3 linked regions of the Schizosaccharomyces pombe genome follow. The protein of the gene in region 2 interacts with the protein of the main gene of each other region in a biochemical or structural test. Each region holds a gene or a part of one and is shown on either strand. Other genes may lie near its edges. The genes, in order: pom1, pal1 and kin1.

Region 1 (7,295 bases), on a different chromosome or scaffold from region 2:
CATATCGTTGAACCATGAAGATATTGGAACAGCATGCGAAGGATGAAATATGTAACTTGAAGGTGAATTGTCTATTATTATCGAATCCTCAAGATTACGACCAAGCTGAGATAAATCTTTTACGAAGTTTCCTTCATAATTACAGCAAGCTTCACGAAAAAGACGATGACGAATGACATGCGAATGATCAAGCATGTCCAAAACAGGATCGGCATATTTTGCAAGAGAAGCTGTAAAAACCACTATTTCAAACATATCACCCATTTTCTTCAAAAATTCATCGACACCTGGGCGTTTGACTACACGAACATCATGCTGTAATCCATCAATTTCAATGGAAACAACGAAATCAGCTGGTTCAATGTATTTGAAAGAGGAATGAACTAAAGTCTCATCCAAGTCCAAAATAAGGCATTTTTTCCCTTCATCTTCTTTTGCTATGGGAGGTAAAAGCCAGTTGCCCTCTCCATATCGCTTAACTTCCGGTAACGGGGGATCTGCAAAGTCGATGGGTTCTGTTGGTTGTTCACCAAAATGAACATGGCTATCTATCATGTCCCCTTGCTGCGCAATATCTTGTTCATTTGTAGTTCCATTGGGACTAATTGCTGACTCCAAAGAAATAGAAGTTCTTGCAGGTGTCGGTGACTCAAATACCCTTTCGGGACCGTGATTCGTATGTACAGATTCTGAGCTGCGCAGTGTACGACTTACCCTACGCGGTTGCACGACTGAGGGTGCTTTTTTAACAGGCTTAGCCGGTGTGTAAGTAGGTTTCTCATCAATAGAAGCATCTTGAAAGCAAGAACATAAATTCCCAAAAAGTTTTTGAAAAAAAGAAGGCTCTCGTTCACGTTCAGGTGAGGGTTGGGTTTTCGTTGATTTCATTTCTTTTTTAGGAGTTGTTTTCTCAAAACAAAAGTATAAGGATTCTCTAGGATAGCTATTGATTAAATAATTAATAAAATTTTAACTGAAATTGAAAAGTGAGGGTGTATTGTGAATAAGGTCCACAAATTCGATATTATTTTTCTTGTCTTTAGGTATGGCTTTATACGTATAATTTCATCGTTCCGCCTTTTCCGGGATGGATTTCCATTCAAAACAAAACAATGGAGAAAGCTATTTCAGATAAAAAAAGGCTTAAAGCTGCTCTTGGCCAAATTCAACCGTGGTCGTTGAGTTCAAAAACTACAATGCGAATAACGAGCTGACTCCCGCTATAAACACGTAAACAATATAAATTACTAGTGACCTTTATTACTACCTTAATTTATTATTTTAATTTTCTATTTATCTTTTTTCTATTTCATTGTTGATAAAGAATGCAATCTTTACACTATTAGAATAGTAATACACGTGAACTGACTAATGGTCCAAAGGAGCAACCCTGGAATCAAAGGATAGACGATTTGAGTTACTCAATAAATAAACGAACGATATAAAGCAAAGATAATTATAAGCACACTAACTTGAATACTCGTGTCCTGTGTGCTAAACCCTTTTTACTTCACACTGGTATTGTAAGTAGTAGCATGAAGTAATTACATTAATAGCAGATAACGGATTTTTAAATGGAAAATATAACTAGCATGGTTGACACGTTGTACTAATGCAATCAACGCTCATTCTAATATTTCACATGAAGTTCAAAAAACACTTAATAAATTATGCATAGTATTGCTATAAGTAGAAAGGAGCGTATGAGTGGTAAATATAAACAAATATCCTTCATGAGGAATAAAATAAAATGGTAAGTATTATCTAAACATATTAAGTCCAGCCTTGTAAGAAAGAAAGTAGATAGAAAAAGGAAGAATTACTAATAAAATGATGTAAAACAGTACTTGAAATGGAAGGGTCAAATTAAAAAGAAAAAAAAGTTGATGTACTTGAAACGCAAGCAAAAGGTTTTCAACCTATTCCAAGGTAATGTGTGATCACGGCCGGGATTTCTCTACCGGCTTTCGTAAAAAACCATTATCTGAAATTATTGAATAATCTAAATTTGTCAAAAGATTGGGGAATTTGTCAGAAGAGCGAACAAGATTAGAAGCTTGGTTAGAGGGCTCTTTCGGGGAAGGTAAGGTATGGTCATTGTATTCCATTGGCAAATTCGGTAAAGGACGCGGAATTGGAGCTGTTTCTATATTTGGGGGTCTCGCAAATTTCTGACGAGCTGGCGCAGTGTTAGGTCTTCTAACATCTTGCTTTCCAGTAAGAAAATCATGTTGAGCAGCTTGCTGTGGAGTCATTCTTTCATCAGGATCCCATTTTAGACAGTCAGATATAAAACTTAAAAACGAAACGTCTTTGCATTGCAATACTTGATGAAGGGACTTGCTAAAAGGACGACGGCTTACTCCTTTCGATGATACAAATGGTCTTGGCTTTCCAGATGAGTCAAAAAACACCTTTTTTCGTGAGCATTTGTCAATCAACGAATGATCAGGTGGTCCAAAAATTTCCATAATGCAAGCGAGTTGCTCTTGCTCGTTTTCACCAGGAAACAAGGGAAATCCAGTGTACATTTCCGCTATTATGCATCCAAGGCTCCAAACGTCTATTGGTGTACCATAACCCATACCCAATATCACTTCTGGAGAACGATAAAACCGAGATTGAATGTATGTATAAACGCATTCACCTTCAAAGCAGCTACTCCCAAAATCAATCACCTTCACCTGTGATTTAAATGGGTGGCATAGTAAAATATTTTCGGGTTTCAAATCACAATGAATAACGTGCTTTTCATTTAAAAGTGTTAAGCACTGAATAAGTTGCCGTGTTATGCTTTTAATGACTACTATTGGAAGTCCTTTAAACCCATTACTTTTAATTAACTCATAAAGGTTTTTACCCAATAATTCAGTAGCAACGCAAAGATGATCGCGGAAATAAAAGTGGTCAGTATATTGAACCATACAGTACTCATCCAATGGGTCCCACTCGCGGATTTTTTGTAAAATTTTTGTTTCGACGAGAGCTTGCATATGAAAGCGTTTTTTATTACGGATAATTTTCAATGCAACAAGTTTTCCAGTTTCGTAATCAATACAACGTAGAACCTGTCCAAAACTCCCCTTCCCTAAGAAATCCACAACTTCGTATCGATAAGCAATATGGTCTCCTAAAACAACCTTGTAATCTCCTCTTTCGTCGTCAAACCCAAAATTCGAAGAGGTGTTTTCATCAGCTGACCGACGTTTATCAACGTTTCTTAACCCAGTAAAATATATGTTATCGTAGTTGTTTATTTCATCCTGCTCATACTCCGTTAAAGGAGCGGTGTTGATCAATTGAACTTCCGTGTTTCTGACAGGAGTTATTATACAGGCTCGGTCAAGGAGGGACTGCATAACTTTTGCATCGTCAAGAAGCTTATTAATTCGTTTGCTATTAATGGCCTTCATAGCTAAATCAGCAACCTTACGATCAAACGGTTCTGACAACACATTTGAAGACGCAAAAGATAAGGAAGGCTGTAATGATTCACTCGTATCAGAACTCCTTTTAGGAGTATACGAAACACTTCGTTGCTGAGGTACATGTCCTTTATCTTTAAAGTTTGAAGGTAGTGGAGGAACTGAAGGAATTTCCTCGGGCTTCTCAGGTTCACGGGAAACCTGAGAACGCGTAATCGAAAGTCTTGGAACAGGGGGAGGTGATGCAGAATCACTATTACCGTTAGAGCTTCTTTCTTTGGATGGTTTGAACCAGTTAATAAATTGCTGCATCCGGCTTTTCGTTCTCGTAGGAGTTTTCTTTCCATTCCGGTAGCTAGATTTGGTAGAAGAATCAGCTATGTAAGCATGTGGTATTGCCGGTACGTCAGGGGCATCCTCGTGTTTAGCTTTACTTCCTTTCTTCATACGAGAAGAACTTCTCGAAAAACTCAATCTGCTAAAAAAGCCACCTCTTGAAGATCTACCTTCTTTGTTGGAAGATTTCTGTGATTTAGACTCATTTTGGACAGTATTCCCATGTTTAGCTTCATGGTTACGATGCCCATCAACGTTTGTCTTCTGAGAAACCGCTTTAGGAGCAGCTTTCGGATCAGGATTTCTACTGTCGGGATGAACTTGAGATGATGTAGTAGTATTATTGTGATTATCGGATGAAACAGGTTTGTTGTTATCGAAGACAGAGGGGGTAGCAAAAGAGTGTGATTTGGTTTGTGATCCTACATGTGAGTGATTATTTTTAACATTAGAAAGGGTTATTTGACTATGGGGGGAAAGTTCTTTGAAAAAAGAATTGGATGTCTTCAAAGGGGATTGGATTGTAGAAAGATTCTTCGATTCTGAACTTGATTTCGTAAGGGATCCAGATATATTTGCTTTAGGATGTTGGTGATCAGTGGAATGACCTATATTAGGAGGAATAGTTGGAACAGGAGGAATTCCAGACTTATTTCCAATAGAAGCTGCTCTGGGATGTGAAGTAGAATGGAAGTTAGTATGACGCCAACTACCGGATCTCTTTGGAGCCATTGAAGCATGGTATGCATGGTTCCCCGAGGAAAAAACGCTAGATTGTAAAGGAACGGATGATACATCTTGTGTAATAGATATAACCCCACTCAAATGCCCCCCATTATTTTGCTGATTCCAATCACTAGGCTTTGATGAACGATTATAATATGATAAGGAAGTTCCAAAACTCTTAGAGTTCGATATTGAAGATGTCCTATGATGTGAAGAAGTATTCAACGACGAAGGATTGTTCTGCTGAGATGACTCGAAATCGATTGGGTTATTACCAATACTTATGTTTGACAAACGGTGTATGGAATTCCTCGGACTGTTTTTCTGTCTATAATCGTGATCAAAACTACTTCGGAGTAAACCATTGCCAGTCGAGTGGTGTATAGTAATAGCATGATTATCCATAGATGAACCAACTCCCTTTGGTTCAACATTCATAAATAACTCATCTTTATGCTCTTGTTCCGGAAAAGAAATGTTCGTATTTGAGGCATTCGTCGAAGGACTCGTATCTGCTGCTGTACTGCTAGAACTCTGGCGGTTTGGACAAATATCGTTGGAATAACTACCAACGGCAGAAAGTTCAGATGGGTTTAATAGTTCAGATTTTATTCCGAACATGTTTGCGCTTTTCCGGTTTGATGTATGAAGTTTAAATAATGCATCCGTATTTTCGTCGCCCAGAGAAACCGCTTTTTGGGACTGCAAATAGCCCATTTGCAAACTTTGCTTCAAAAAGCCAAAATTCTCACTATATTACGCTTTTACTGGCTTTTTTGAAACAAAATATTGTTTCTATAAGCTCCCTCCTTCAGTTACAGTCTCTTATCTTCTTTAAAATGCAAACTAGTAGCAGTACGTTCGTGGCTAATTAAAGCCGCGCTACACCCTGCATATCAATACCAACCACTTCTGAAAGGGCACGCAAGCTGTAAATGAAACATAGAACGCTTATTGATTTGTGCACAAATTTTACCAAAAAGAAAATATTTTATTAAGATTTACTGCATATATATTTTGATGCTTTAAAAAGAGTTTGAGTGAACATACTTTGGGTTTTTTTTAGTCCAAGGTTTAAAATTGGTTTTCATTTGTATACATATAAAATTCCCCATAACTACTGTTTTAACCCTCGTTATAAAGATAAATCAATCACACAGACCTTCCCATTGAAACTAAGTTTTAGGCGGTTCAAAATTACCTACTTGTTTTTGCAATTAATGCGTTTCTAGCAAATAGTTTGATGGCAGTAAAGGCTTCCTTTTTGCAGAACAAATTAAATTGCTCGCTGAACAGACATAAAATTGCGCTTATATACAGTGTTTTAAGCTGATTAAATACGAAATACACGACTAATTTACTAAATCTTCTTTAATAATCTTTTCGATGGATAGACCACATCTCTTTTCTGAAGTTCATTTCCGTCGAAACGCCTCTAACCCCAATCAGATTAACTGGACGCGTTATTGGATTGATTGTCTATCATCAGTTCCTTGGAATGATATCTCTGTAACTGGATTTGAATATTTGGCTAAAAAGTATGGTCTGGAGGTTTTTCAAGACTCCTCCAAACCCAATGAAGTGGTCCTCAGTTTAGCTGGAAAAATAATTTTGATCGACGTAAGTTTAAATCCTGTACATAACCGTTTTACTAATTAGTATCTAGATCACTGTTCCCATAAATGCGTCTCCAAAAGATATCAACGTTGTTTTGGCTTTTGCAAACGCTAGTGGTGAGCAATATAATAATCCTGTTGCAGAAAAATTACTTAAGGATGCAATTTACAATTGCAATACCCCACTATTTGAAAAGAATGTCAAATGGTTGGCTACCTTTGATCACTCCTCTCCTTCGGTCCAACAAAGTTGTTTCCAATATTTAGACTCACTATCCTCTTCTTTAAATGCTATTTATGAAGCAGAATTATCTTTGCTAGCACAAGAAGAAAATGTTATAATGCATGGAAACGGAAAGCCTCTCAGTAATTACGAAGGACAACTTGGTTTGCGTATTGTATACTGGAAGCTTTTGGATAAAACCTATAGCACTCAAATTTTTATGGATAATTTGTCTCATGAGTCGCTACCTCACTTGTTATTCGGATATAATTTATTAAATTCTCCTCCTATCCTCCAATCATCAAAAATTAATTGGGCACTTGAAAATACTTTGACACCTATTCCTACAACAATGGAACTAGTTTTTGATGATATCAATTTAATAATACCAGAGCAGGGCGTCAAACCTTTACTTGATTTGCTTCATGTCCATGACATTACCATTCCTTGGCCTGTCCAAAATTATAGTCATATGGTAAGTACTTTCCCTAAATATCAACTTAACTAATTTCACCAGCTTGGTTTACCTTCAAAATCAACCGTGAACTACAAATTCATTAATAAAAATCAAGCCATCCAGCTAACAGGGTTCGATGTTTCCGCACGTTCTTTGCGTCACGTACCGTTTCATCATCCCAAGCAAATTCGAGGAATACTTGCTATTGTACGCCAATATTTATTATTACAATTGATTTTGGAAAATATCAAATCAGCAGATTTAGCAGAGACTGCGGCATCTTCCTCCCTTCACCTCTCTCTATATTTTAAGGAGCATCCGATCGTTCATGCCCAATATCAAGAAATCAACAAACTGAATAATTCCGAACAAATTATCATTGTTCTATCCGTATTGTCAGATGGAAGACTGAATGTTGATTATATGTCTAGTGGTGGCAAAGAATTGTCAAAACAACAGTCTCATGTTTTTCAAAAACTTATACAACAAACATGTAACATCGGACTTGCGAT
Region 2 (5,446 bases):
AATCTAATTTACAAGTAAAAAAAATCTTTGAAAACCAAGTTTTAAATTGTGATGGTATAAAAGTAGCAATAACGATTCCTGATACTTCCTTAATAGCTGGATCCTTGTTACATGGCAACATTTGGTTATCCTACGAAGGGGCAAAAAACGTGGAAACCGGTGTTTGGATAAAGGAAATGTTTCTCGATTTCTATGGTATTTTGAATTTTAAAGGCCATTCAGAACCTTTCTATTCTATCTCTGAAAAGTACTCGTTTTGCAACCTTAAGACATCTGCACTGATTCTCTCAAAGGCAGCTTCTGCCAGCATAGGCAACAAGGGCCTTTTCCTTAAATGTTCTTGTAAAGTTGGGTTTCCTTTCTCCTTCATCGTTCCTTTGGATATAGGTCCAGGTACTTATCATTCATCGAAATTAGAACTGTTATACTATATTTCAAGGTAAAAGATTAAACCGAAAAAAGTAACTGACATCTTAGTACGCTGACTTTAACATCTCTGGATCAAAATATTCGCTGTACTCGTTGTACAATTCCTAAACGGGTAATCACTTCAATGCATAATAATATAGCGGAGCTATATAACCCGATCTCATGCATTAAAAGCCTACCCTATCTTTCATTAGAAGAAGCAAAAACTACCTTGGAGGTTCATACGGACAGATCCTTGTTTTTTAGTGGTCAAATCATCGATTTTACCATTTGCTACACTCATAATCATCACAGAAGGGTAAAGTCTAGTAAATTAATTAAACTAAAGATAACAGTTAATCGCTAACTCTCAAAAGATTCATAATATAAAAGCACGATTGCTGGAAACTCATATCTTTCACCCTAATACTCAAAATCATTACGGTGGTTATTGTATGAACCAGGCCGAAGAAACATTCGCGAGTTGCGGATACTTGAAGCGTTATCAAAAAACTAAGACGAAAACAAGGGCAAAATCAACTTGGAAAATTGCTAATAAATCTGTTTATTCCAATTTGGCACCGACTCTAAAAAACACAATCCACGCACAAATCAAAATACCTGAATTTTGCCGTTCTGTTAATTTAAAAGATCAGCTGAAAATTGATTATACCCTTGAAGTTTGTTTCTCAGCATTTTTTAAACCAAGGTATGTAATCCAATCATTGTTTAAGTTCACACGCTAACAAGATAGAATTTTATCAATACAAATTCCTATAACGATTTTACATTCCTGGAACTAACATCAGCTACCTATAACATGCAGAGTACGCTTCTATATATCTACTGCCAATTCACTTAGTGAAACTAGATTGTAAATGAACGAAGACTGCATTGTAGAAAAAATAGAGATCATGATTAAATTACTTAAAGTAGAGAGCAATCAAAATATCACCAGGTGAAAAAATTTCGAAAGAAGGAAAATGTAAAAGAAAAGCATCTGGATTTGTTAAAGTTATGCAGAACAAGTAGGCATGAAAAATGTAGACTTCAGACGAACTAGTGAATGTCGAGAAGAAGCAAAAGAGAAAAGGACAAGATGCGAAATATTAGGACAAAAACAAAGAATGGTAATAATAAGTATGCGGAAGATTAAAGCAGAAACTTCCAACAAACTGGACGAAGAATTGAACTAAGCTGATTCAATATTTAAAAGCAGGGGTACAGACGTATTAGATGTTGAGAAATTGGTAAACAAATAAAAAGGGGAATAGAGAAAGATGATACTCAAAGATGCTATTATAGTAAATAAAGTTTCAAGCCTGAAAAGCCTACGACTTTTTGTGGAATAATCGTCTAAAAAATCCCATTTTCTTGGGTTTGGAACGCTCTTTCGCAGTAAGCGGAAGAGACATTTGAGATTCAGCGTGTTGGGGATAAGGTCGTGTATTAAGTCCACCTGTTTTCCTACGAGAAGGTGGCGGTGGAGCAGCTGTAGGAGATGTACGATTACGAAGGCCAGTGTTACTGTCATCAGTATCAGATTCGTTCTCGTTAGAAATGGGGTCAAGTTGAGAAGGGGAATTAAGTGGAGATCTTCGGGTTCCCATGGAAGAGTGAGACCGATAATTAGATGGCCTATTCAAAGTATTTGGTGTACGAGACATCATACTAGCGCTACGATTTAATCCAAGTTTTCGAATGAGAGAATTTTTTCTTCCCAAGCCCGCTTTTTCCATTGCCAACATTTCTTCATTACGTGCAATTGCATTTTTTGAAGCCATCGCACCTTCTATACGGGTAGAGTCAGTTAAACCTGGAGTATCATTATTGCCAGATGAAGGAAATTCTTCTTCGATGCCAACAGATTTATAAGGAGATTGCAATATGTTTTTTGTACGCAAACTCTCATGAATGGCTTTTCTGCTAAAATCCTTAGGGACTGAAGGGTCATTATAAGTTTCCCCAACTTTCGGAATGGAATTAGCAATACTATCTTTTGGAAATGCGGCAACAGGTGCTTTCTTAGAATTTCGATTACGATGAGGTCGACAAGCATCAAAAGGACCATCGTGATGAAAGCTACCAGATCCATAAAGCCCTGTTACGTCCAAACGATCTATCTGATCTAATGGTTCTTTTGACGACCGACCAGGACGATGTGATCCCTCTCGTACAGACTTGTAGCGTCGAATGCTACCCCTGCTTTTCAAACTGGATTGGGTGGATGGTGAACTGTCGTTATGCGATGGAGAACGATGGCGACTAGAGCTGGCAACATGAGTACTACGAGCTCTAGCAATTTTCGAATATCTTGGAGGGGGGTCAAAAGTGCCCATCGAACTGTTAGATCGTTCGGCTAATGCCTCCGCAGATTTTTTAACGGGACTTGCTGAAGCAGAGGAAGCAGGAGATGGCTCCTTCTTCTTTTGAATACTATTAAACTGGTAAAATGTTAGTTTTTGAAACATATTAAAATTGAAAGCTGTGCTCGATTTTCGGCTCAACTTCATTGCAAACCGAAGAAACTCCTTGTCTAAATAAAATGTACGTTATGAGCGCTTTAAATTAGAAACTTAAAAACTCTTAATAGAACACTAATTTGGAAAGGTTTCAATAAATTTAACAAATCTTCACGTAACGAAGCAATGACCGAATTATATCTACTTCAGCCTCAAAAATTTACATACCAAGTCATCTGCCATAGATTCCATGACCGGATCAGCCACACGCTCTGTCTTGGGAGCTAAAAAAGGATTGTTACTGTTGTGCAGGGAAGACGTGTACACGCCATCCTCTTGAGGTGTCTGACTGCTTGTAGCAGTACTTAAAAAAGGGTTCTCTATTACCATCATCCCGTATTGCACCCAAACGATACCCTTGCGATTTCGTTTTGAGAAAGAGCACCTTGAAATACACAAGAGGTTTTTCCGAATCAAACTTCGAACTACAAGATATGGGTTCTTGGTGAGTTGGGATTCCAGTGGTAAAAATATCTACCCCTGCTTATAGGCAATTTACTGTACAGTGCTATTGCACATTGGGTTGCGTTATCTAGGTTTCTTGCTATAATAATTTTATTGTGCAAGACAGAAAAGTACATTTATTAAGAATGGGAAAACTGAATAAATCGAATATCCTAACCACTGACGATTAGACACATTAATTCGATTAATAACAGTGATGGTTATGTTAATGAAAATACGAGATGAGGAAACTTATTAATCAAAGCAATCATCTGGCTAAAAATTAAACGAACATCTGTGAATGTTAAAAATCTTAAGTAAACAACAAATCGGTTAACATAATTTTCAACGAAAAAAATGTTTTAAACCCATTTCTTTAATTCGTTAATTTAATCAGGATTCCATTTTATCATAAACAAGCAAATGAACCGACACAAAATGAAACGGAAGTTCCACAGAGGCACAAAAACTAAGTTTTACCAAAATTACTCTGCAGCCTTTTGACGTGTTCAAATAGAAATGGCATTTCCTACTTGCATTACAAAACAATTCATAAAATGTCATAAAGGAGCCCTTATTGGGCAGATGAAATGAGCCACAAAAAGTGTCAAAGATAGAAATAGTCACTAGAAAAAATAACGCATTGTAAAAAAAATCTAAGAGGTAATTATTCATAATGGAGACCCCTATCGCTTCTAAAATAAGATATAAAGAGCTGCAATAAGAGCGATACCAATTATGATAGAAAACCAAAACGCAATATTTCCCAGCAGTCTATGTCTTCGAACAAACTTCTGTCGCTGAATAATGATATACGGGATTTGAGTCATTTGAAAAAACAAACCGTAACCGCGGATTTTTAAAGTGATACATCCCATAACAAGTTCATGTAATACAGAGGAGACAAAGAACGTGAAAAAAGTCGATAAAGACTTTGACATGAAAGAGTTGAGGGGAACATAAACGTGGCGAAGGAGAAAGTAATGAACGGGCTTATTCCAGGTTCGGGCAAATTGATCCCAAGTCCAGCAATTCCACCAATCATCATAAAAGTTTCTATCGGCAAATCTAGTAATCTCTGCGCTGAAATTACAAACTCCTTCAAAAATGACCCAGAACACGAGGAGGAAGCTAAGCATAAATGGGAACATCAAAAATGCTACAGTATGGCCTAAACGTATAGCAAAATAAGTAGCAGATGCGTCTTCAGGAGCTTCAATAATGGTTCGAATGGCTTTAGCAAGTACAGGAACCATGAAATGATCAGAAATAATGACCAAAAGAAAGATACAACCAAACGTTCCCAAAGCGCATTCAATCAAATAATGAATTCGCACATGGGCGGTTCTTGGGTAGTATAATTGATAACATAAGCTGGGCATGAAAAGGAAATCCAAAGCATTTGGTATGGTTAAATTTTCCGGATAAGTATTACCATGATGGTTGAGACAATGTTCATAAAACTCAACTGAGGATCGTTCATCATCATCAAGATCGGTTTTTTTTGACTGAAGCTTATTTAACGAATGATAACAATAAGAATACCAACCGTTGACAACGTTATAGGAATGAAGCTTCATAAGGATTACCATAGAATGAAGAATAAACATAGCACGATGCGTCCAGGACCAGTTGCTAAGACAGCAGCGTAAAACACAATGGCTTAAAAAAAGTAAAATAAGAATGGAATAGAGGTAAACGCCTAAACCATACCACCGCAGATATCCCAAAGCAAAAATCTTTTGGAAAGGAAAAGCAAGTAGAAACATTGAAGACATAGCAAGGTCTGCCTTTGCCAGATCTAACAAATTAGACTGAAAGTATTTAAAAATAGTGCCAACAACTGGTCTTCCAGTCAATTCGAAATTTTCTAAAAAGCTCATGAAAATCATAATAGAGACAGCAACCCAAAATAACACAAAAAATCCAGTAAAGTCTACCGCATTACGTTGATAATTACGAGCAAAAATCGAGGGAGTAGGAGATAATTCCAGAGGTCGGTAAGCGGCCCTAGACCTTCGAAGGTCAATTTTTGAGGTTTCAGAAACACCTTTGAACGTCTGTTCCAAGTT
Region 3 (7,187 bases), on a different chromosome or scaffold from region 2:
CAGCAACGCCTTAAAAAGAATATGAAAGGCAATATAACTGAGAAATACAACAGCCCGATGGGTATGTTCAATTAGAAATATTTTACTTTCTCACTTACTAACGACTGCATAGAAAATATGTTGAAGGAGGTTCGTTTCTTTGGCAAACCCAAATTTTTGGATGCCAATCCTCAAAGTGCAGTGGCAAGCCGCGTATTAGAAGGGCTCATAGAGTGTGCTCCAGCTGAAAAAGACTTGTATCTTTATTATTTGATCATGCGTTATCCTGGAAAAACCATGGTTTTTGCCAATGGTATTGAGGATATTAAGAGAATCACTCCTTTTCTAAATGAGTTAAAAGTTCCATCCTATCCTCTACATGCTCAATTAGATCAGAAAAAAAGACTTCAATCTCTTGAAAAGTAAGTTATTTTTATTTATATGTTACTAACTAACAAGGTTCAAAAATAATCCTAAAGGAGTCCTTGTTTGCACTGATGTGGCCGCCCGTGGTATTGATATTCCTAGTGTTACGCACGTAATTCATTATCATGTTCCTCATACAGCTGATATGTATGTTCATAGAAGCGGTCGTACCGCTCGCGCTAACGAAGATGGCGTTTCAATTTTAATGTGTGGTCCTAAAGAACTGTCACAGCTGAAACGACTATGTTATCGGTTGAAAAAGAAAATCGAGACCTTTATTAATTTTCCTGTGGATATGTCAATATTGGACATTTTAAAAACGAGGGTCGTCTTAGCACATAAAATTGTAAATCTCACTAGAAAAGACGGAAGAGTGGGACGTGAGGAAGCTTGGTTAAAATCGATGGCTCAGGAATTGGGAGTTGAAAGTTCTGATGATGAGGATCCGGATTTGCCAAAAAAATCTGAATCTAGTAAGAATAAGAAACAGATAGCGCATCTTCGCTCAGAGCTTGCTCCCTTATTACACGAAAAAATAAGAACAGGATTTTCTGGTAGATACTTGACGAGCGGTCTTGTAAATATGGCTGAAAAATTAGCCAACGAAGAAGTTCATGATAATATTATCGGAATGGACTCAATTAGTGCTTTGGAAGTTCTGCAAAAAAGGAAGAAGTAAAAAAGGGTTTTTACTTAGCTACTTTTCATATAGCACGGGTTTTCATTTAGGTTTTTATACAATGGTTTTTTGGTATTTTATAGTTATGGGTTAATAATAATATTACTGCTAGATAAGTATCAACAAAAACGTCGTATTAGACTATATAAGTGAACGAATTACTATAAGATATATCATTAATTATAGTAGCCTTATGTATCTGGCTTAAACATAAGCGAACGAGGGTGCATTTACACGTTGACTTTACATGCCTCTGGCATCTGTTTGCTTTCACAGGCAAGAGCATTAGAGGTCTAGTTTCTCGTCTCTAAAAAAGCTCAACGTCTAATATAGTTCAACCTGAAGCGGTCTTAGTATTAAAAACCATAAACACTAATTAGGTGGTCATAACGTAAAATGAAGTGAAATAAATAATTTCAAAAAAGTATGCAGCTTTAATAGTCAATCACAATTTTAATTCGTTAAGAATACGACTAGCCAATGTCTTATATTGCCATGAGTTTCCACTAATTCGATGAAAAGAAACGCCACGAAGAGAGAGTATAGGGACTTTCACAATATATATTTCAAAGGCAAGGTTAGAGGCAGGCGACTCACCATTGTCATCTAATGGGACTGTGTCCGGCACCGATCCATAAGAATCAGTGGTAGAATTAGAGCCATAAGAAGGCTTACGTCGTGTATGAACAGAAGTCGATTTTGTAGGGGTTCGGATACCCTGAGGTTTATATAGACATGCATAACCACCCTTGATCTCTTTATACTCAATATCAAGCATGCCCATTACCCGAATAAGATCTCGTTGAATTGACTCAGTACTTTTAGTCGATGTAGTGGAAACACTGAACAAGCCTTTAAGGAAAACAGGCTTTATAGGATCCAATTTATCCGTAGATTTGGATGGGGAAGTAGAGTTCTTGTCCACCGGATTGCCCATCGTTTCATTAAGGATTTGCTTTTGGCGGTTGGTCGTAGAAGTTGACATCCGCCCATGCCCCAAGGAAGCACCACGAGGATTAAGTACACGATTATTACGAACCGACGGAGGTGCATTTGCCATATTGGATGCAGAGGGCCCTGTTGAATCCATGTTTAGTGAATCCATCTGACTGGAGATACCAGCATAGCGGCCCTCACGAACAGAGGTTGATCTTCCAATAGCAGATTGGGTAACAAGTTTATTCTTGTAAGATACTGGGGGCTTGTGAGACGGCTTGGTTCGAGGTGTTGGTGGAGATTGTGAGGTCTCAAGGGGAGCACTAATTTGAAGAGTAGATGTAGAAGACTTATTTTGTTTTCGGCGTGATGAAAACCTTCTAAAAATGCTGGATGGATTCTTTTTGATGGAGGAGGTTGCTGAAGGAGAAGGGGAGTGAGATTCCGTATCAGGCAAAGGCTTTCTGCGTGCAAGTGATGTGTTTCGAGAAACACGAGGTGATTCTTCGTCGCCTTTGTAGGCAACAACTTCCGGCATTGGCGGTAAAGTACGATTATAACTAGTTGGCTGAACTGGCGAAGAAGGAACGCTAGAAACTGGTGTTTTTGCTATCCTATTCCAATTTCCACCTTTTTCATATACACGACGTTCAGAAACTAAATAATAAATTGAAATGAGAGGATGAAACGCATCATAAATATCAGTGTTCATTGAAAGAGATGGTAATATTGGATTCTCGATATCATGCGCAGCATGCCTAATCCGGAATTCAAAGAAAGACTTTTTCTTGTCAGCTGAATTAGGCCCGGAATAAAATCCAGTTTTAGCTAAAGATTGATAAGCTTCACTGCTAATTACCTTAGTTAATTCACGAACAATTTTTTCTGGTGGTCCAAAATCAAAACCGTTCATTTCCCTAATAATTTCAGGATCTAATGGAAGAGTGATCGGAGATCTTTCCGGAGCAAACGAAGCTGGAGGTCCTTCATAATTGCGAATCATCCAAGGATGGTTCAAAACTTCTTCAAGCGTGGCTCGCTTGAGAGGATCAGTAACCAACATTCTTGATAGTAAACCTTTACAATCACTACTTAAATAACTTGGATACTCGACGGTACCTTTTTTTATTTTCGCATGCAAGGCAGACATATTTTGATCATCAAATGGCACTTTTCCGCAAACAAGAACGTAAAGTACTATTCCAAAACTCCAAACGTCTACCTCTGGACCAATGTACGGTTGAGCATTCAAAAGTTCTGGAGCAGCAAAATATAATGAACCACAAAACGTGCGCAAGCGAGACTGACGTCGATACAAATTTGAAAGACCAAAATCGATAATTTTGATGTCACCGGTCTTCGAAATTAAAATATTTTCAATTTTTAGATCTCTGTGCACCACAGAGTTTTGATGCAAATAACTCAGCGCACTTCCAATTTGACGCACAAATTTTCGAGCTTGCTTTTCTTTTAATTTTCCATGTGAAATAATATAATCCAGCATTTGACCACCGTCGACAAATTCAAAGACCATATAATAATGACTATTAGTAATATAAACATCTCTTGCCTCGCAAATATACGGATGACGGAGCAAAGTAGATAAGGCAGCTTCGCGAACAGTACGAATTTCCTTGTTTTTTTCTGATTGTGCTGCCTTAGTAGCCTCAGCAGAAGCAGCAGCTTTTGCCTTCGTTATGTCTGGATGAAGACGGGTAACTATTTTAATGGCAAACTGTTCACCTGTTTTTAAATGATGCGCAACTTTAACTTTCCCCATGCTACCAGCCCCAATGGTTTTACCTAGTACATAATTGCCTATGACTTTTCTTCTTTCACGAGGCTTCTCGTCAGCGCTATAAGAATGCCCAGATACAGGTACTCGCAGGCTATGATCCCGCGTACGAGAAGGAGATGCTGGTAGCGGTTTTCGACTTGATGGAGACCTTACGGGGCCATGATGTGGAGACTGAGAAGAAGGAGAAATATACCCAGGAGAAAAAGATAAACCCAGAGGCTCTACAGCGGATTTTGGTTGTGTAGAATAAGAAGGAGATTGCATAAAAGCATCCACCAGGTTGTGATGACGGTTGGGCGAGTCAGATATTTTAATTTTCGGCAACGCATTTAAAGCGGCAGACTTTGTCTCATTACCGACGGGTACGTTATTGGTACGGTACTCCATCAGGAAATGGGATCAACAGACAAAAAAGCAGATATAAAATTACTGCTTGAACTTTTGAGAGGCAAAAATTAGCAATCAACTCAAAATAAGCCGACTGAGTAATGTAATAAAATAATAACTTTGTGAAAATAATACAAACGTGTAAATCTTGGTTGACAAAAAATACTTTGTTATCGTAAATCGTGGCACCAGTTTCCTTGCGAACCTAAGATGACAAATATTACGAAAAAGCGTGAAATCCGAAAAATTAAAAAGAAAACAATAAAGGGACGAAGAAATTCTTGTACGAGATGAAAACAAATAAGCAAAGCGATCTAGTTACAAGAATGCTCGTGGCTTAGAAACGGATTAGTAGTCAATCAATATTGTTTGTGAAAAGAAGGATGCTCACAAGCCGATAAAGCCGTTTCTACAATCAAAACAAATAAGCAAAGCTTGAAAAGATAACAAATGAGATTATTAGAGCAGCAGGAAGATGGAAGAAGAACAGGTAAACCGGCTTAGCTTTTTCGATGAACAAGATAAACGACCAAAAAATATAGTTGTTTCGATAATTTTCGGTCGTAAAAACTCTTGTTTGAGAAATTCTAGTATAAACAGGTCTCCTGTTTCTTTTATTGAGCAACAGAAAGTCAAACGACTTTGAGATTTTCCCGCAATTTGTTTCCTGTCTAACAACCACTGCAAATCTATGCTACGTCCCCTAAGGCATTCAATATCTCTTCAATTCTTTCCTTTCAATTAAATTATTACAAAAAAAGGAAATGAAGCCAGAAACTGTAAAGGAAGGATTCCCTAACCCAAATGCACTGGCTTTGTTGTTGTACGGAATGGTTAAAGCAGCAGTGGAGATGTCATGGATGAATGCACCATGCTAAAGCATTCATTACGTTTAGTATCGATTTATATAGAGATAAGACTTCAAAATAGCCTACCAGTTACTATTTTCTTAAACTTTTATTTTTTTAATCTATTTCATGTATTTATCGACTTGTATTTTCCTTTCCCACACACCCTTTTAAAAGATCACGACTGCTATATACCGAGGCGCAAGCATGCTCCTTTATGGTTATGAGAAAAACATGGTATCTAAAAATGGATTTAGTATGCAGCAAACGACTCAATTGAAATTGTATACTTAAATCTTTTAAATATATGCGTATTCAAAAATACAATGAATAAATCACCATCACAGTTTCCTCATAAATGAACAAATACGCGTGTGTTTTTACATTATTCATACATCTGAATTATCGTGCCAAGTCAAAACTTTTTAAATTAACGAAATATTAAAGTTACTCTAGAGTTTTGTTTTAAGTATTTTTCATGTCTCTTAAGCTTATGAAATTTATTTCGATGGAACAATCAATTAATTTTCTTAACGACTAAAATTAGTCATCGACCATGACGGTACTCTTAATTCATTGATTGTTTTTTTGTTTTTTTAGTCACAATTTAAAAAAAAACAAAAACTGGTTTCTGTCTCTGATGTGGAGTAGAGAAATGGTCTTTTTTACTACATTTATTGCTTGTTATAATCATTAAATACACTTCGCATTGAAAAGTTGCATTGCACACAAACAATGCTTTCGAGCAATTAAACCAATTCATATACAATTTTACTGCAACATCCATAGTTGCTCAGAAAGCTGCCATGTTTAAATATAGGGAAGTCTAACATTACTCGTTAGGTGACTTTCGAAATATCATCCTTATTTACTACGATTGAGTTGGCGGTTGTTGTCATTTCACATTTACGGAATTTTGTAGATAAACTTTCTGACGGTAACTAATAAACCAAAAATACATCTATTTACTTTGGTTCCCGGTAACTAAAGGATTTAAGGACTGGAGTAATCTTTTTCTATAAGTAATAGAGCAAAAAGTCCCTGGTCTTAACCAAATAATCCTTTCTTTCAATTTCTGTTTCTCTCTCTTTTTTTTGGCATACTTTCACAATATTCATTTATCTATTTTTAAACGAAGTAAAGAAAAATGAAGTTTTGCTCCCTGTTTCATGTATTATCGTTTTGTTGTACATTGGCTTACGCCGTCCCTAAATCTCAGTTTTTGCAACTTCATTCACTAAGTAACGCCATTCCCGTTGAATGGAAATGGTACGGTAGTGTGGATGAAGATTCAGGTTACGTTTACTTAACCAGCAAAGACAGTAATGAAGCACGCTCTGGATCCCTTTGGTCAACTAGCGTTTTACGACAAGTTGGCTGGCAGCTATCGACTTCATTTGTAGCTCATGTATCAGAGAACGAAAACACCTTTTTTGCGATTTGGTATACAAGCGCTGTCGGTTCAGAAGGTCCAGTTTTTGGCGCCTCCGATAAGTGGGACGGCCTTCTGATTTCCCAGGAAATCGATCAAACTGGTAAAATCTTTGTTCGTGGCTATTTGAATGATAAAAGTTTTGAACTTGCTCAGTTTACTGACCCCGATCTTCCGCCCTTTGCTAAATGTACCATTGAGAGCTCTCCTGAGGCTTTGAACAATATTATTCTCAAATACGGTGACCAATCTGGATTAGAGTTATTTGTGAATGACAAGCCCTGCTTTCAAGTAAAAGATGTCATTTTGCCTCAGGGGTATTATTTTGGAGTTTCCTCTCAATCTACGTCTGCAAAAGACTTGGTGGCTTTATCGAACCTCAATATACTTCCTCCAGATACATCTAATAATGAAAATTTGAATCCTACCTCCAATACAAAGCAAAGCGTCGGTGACAATACTAGTCCTCAAACAGTTATTGACACTGAAGGTTTGAACGCAATAAAGGCTGATTTGGCAAAGCTTTTTAATCTAGTAGAATCTCAACGCCAGAAGATGGACTCTTTGCATTTTGCGTTGACTAATGCTTTGGAGCGTTTGAACGATATTTCTTCTACTTCACAGTTCCCAAGTGAAAGATTTAATGCCCTTGAAAAATTGCTACATGATTCTCTATCTGCGCAATCTTCCACTGCAGATGGT

What was found.
Region 1: of the proteins of pal1 (region 2) and pom1, one has a biochemical effect on the other in vitro, tested with the Schizosaccharomyces pombe proteins (2 studies listed by BioGRID).
Region 3: the proteins of pal1 (region 2) and kin1 form a complex in vitro, tested with the Schizosaccharomyces pombe proteins (one study listed by BioGRID).

What each region holds. Positions count from the first base shown.
Region 1 is NC_003424.3:532,522-539,816, forward strand, and holds pom1 (DYRK family cell polarity protein kinase Pom1), read right to left. Parts: upstream 5,353-7,295; 5' UTR 5,205-5,352; coding exon 1,941-5,204; 3' UTR 1,599-1,940; downstream 1-1,598. Other genes in the region: NLI-interacting factor-like phosphatase Psr1, read right to left, coding at 1-888; mediator complex subunit Med1, read left to right, coding at 5,874-6,107, 6,154-6,801, 6,844-7,295. UniProt on the Schizosaccharomyces pombe protein: Polarity factor involved in localization of polarized growth and cytokinesis. Forms an intracellular gradient that serves to measure cell length and control mitotic entry.
Region 2 is NC_003421.2:2,394,886-2,400,331, forward strand, and holds pal1 (protein Pal1), read right to left. Parts: upstream 3,375-5,446; 5' UTR 3,264-3,374; coding exon 3,099-3,263; intron 2,853-3,098; coding exon 1,740-2,852; 3' UTR 1,311-1,739; downstream 1-1,310. Other genes in the region: arrestin family membrane adaptor Mug170, read left to right, coding at 1-439, 478-727, 786-1,117, 1,163-1,211; acyl-coA-sterol acyltransferase Are2, read right to left, coding at 4,070-5,446. UniProt on the Schizosaccharomyces pombe protein: Involved in cellular morphogenesis and cell wall integrity. Important for the maintenance of a cylindrical cell shape.
Region 3 is NC_003423.3:2,692,186-2,699,372, reverse strand, and holds kin1 (MARK/PAR-1 kinase Kin1), read right to left. Parts: upstream 5,042-7,187; 5' UTR 4,206-5,041; coding exon 1,530-4,205; 3' UTR 1,245-1,529; downstream 1-1,244. Other genes in the region: ATP-dependent RNA helicase Mak5, read left to right, coding at 1-61, 113-401, 439-1,084; emp46 (lectin family glycoprotein receptor), read left to right, coding at 6,201-7,187. UniProt on the Schizosaccharomyces pombe protein: Has a role in establishing the characteristic rod cell shape. Important for cell polarity and is involved in directing growth to the cell ends.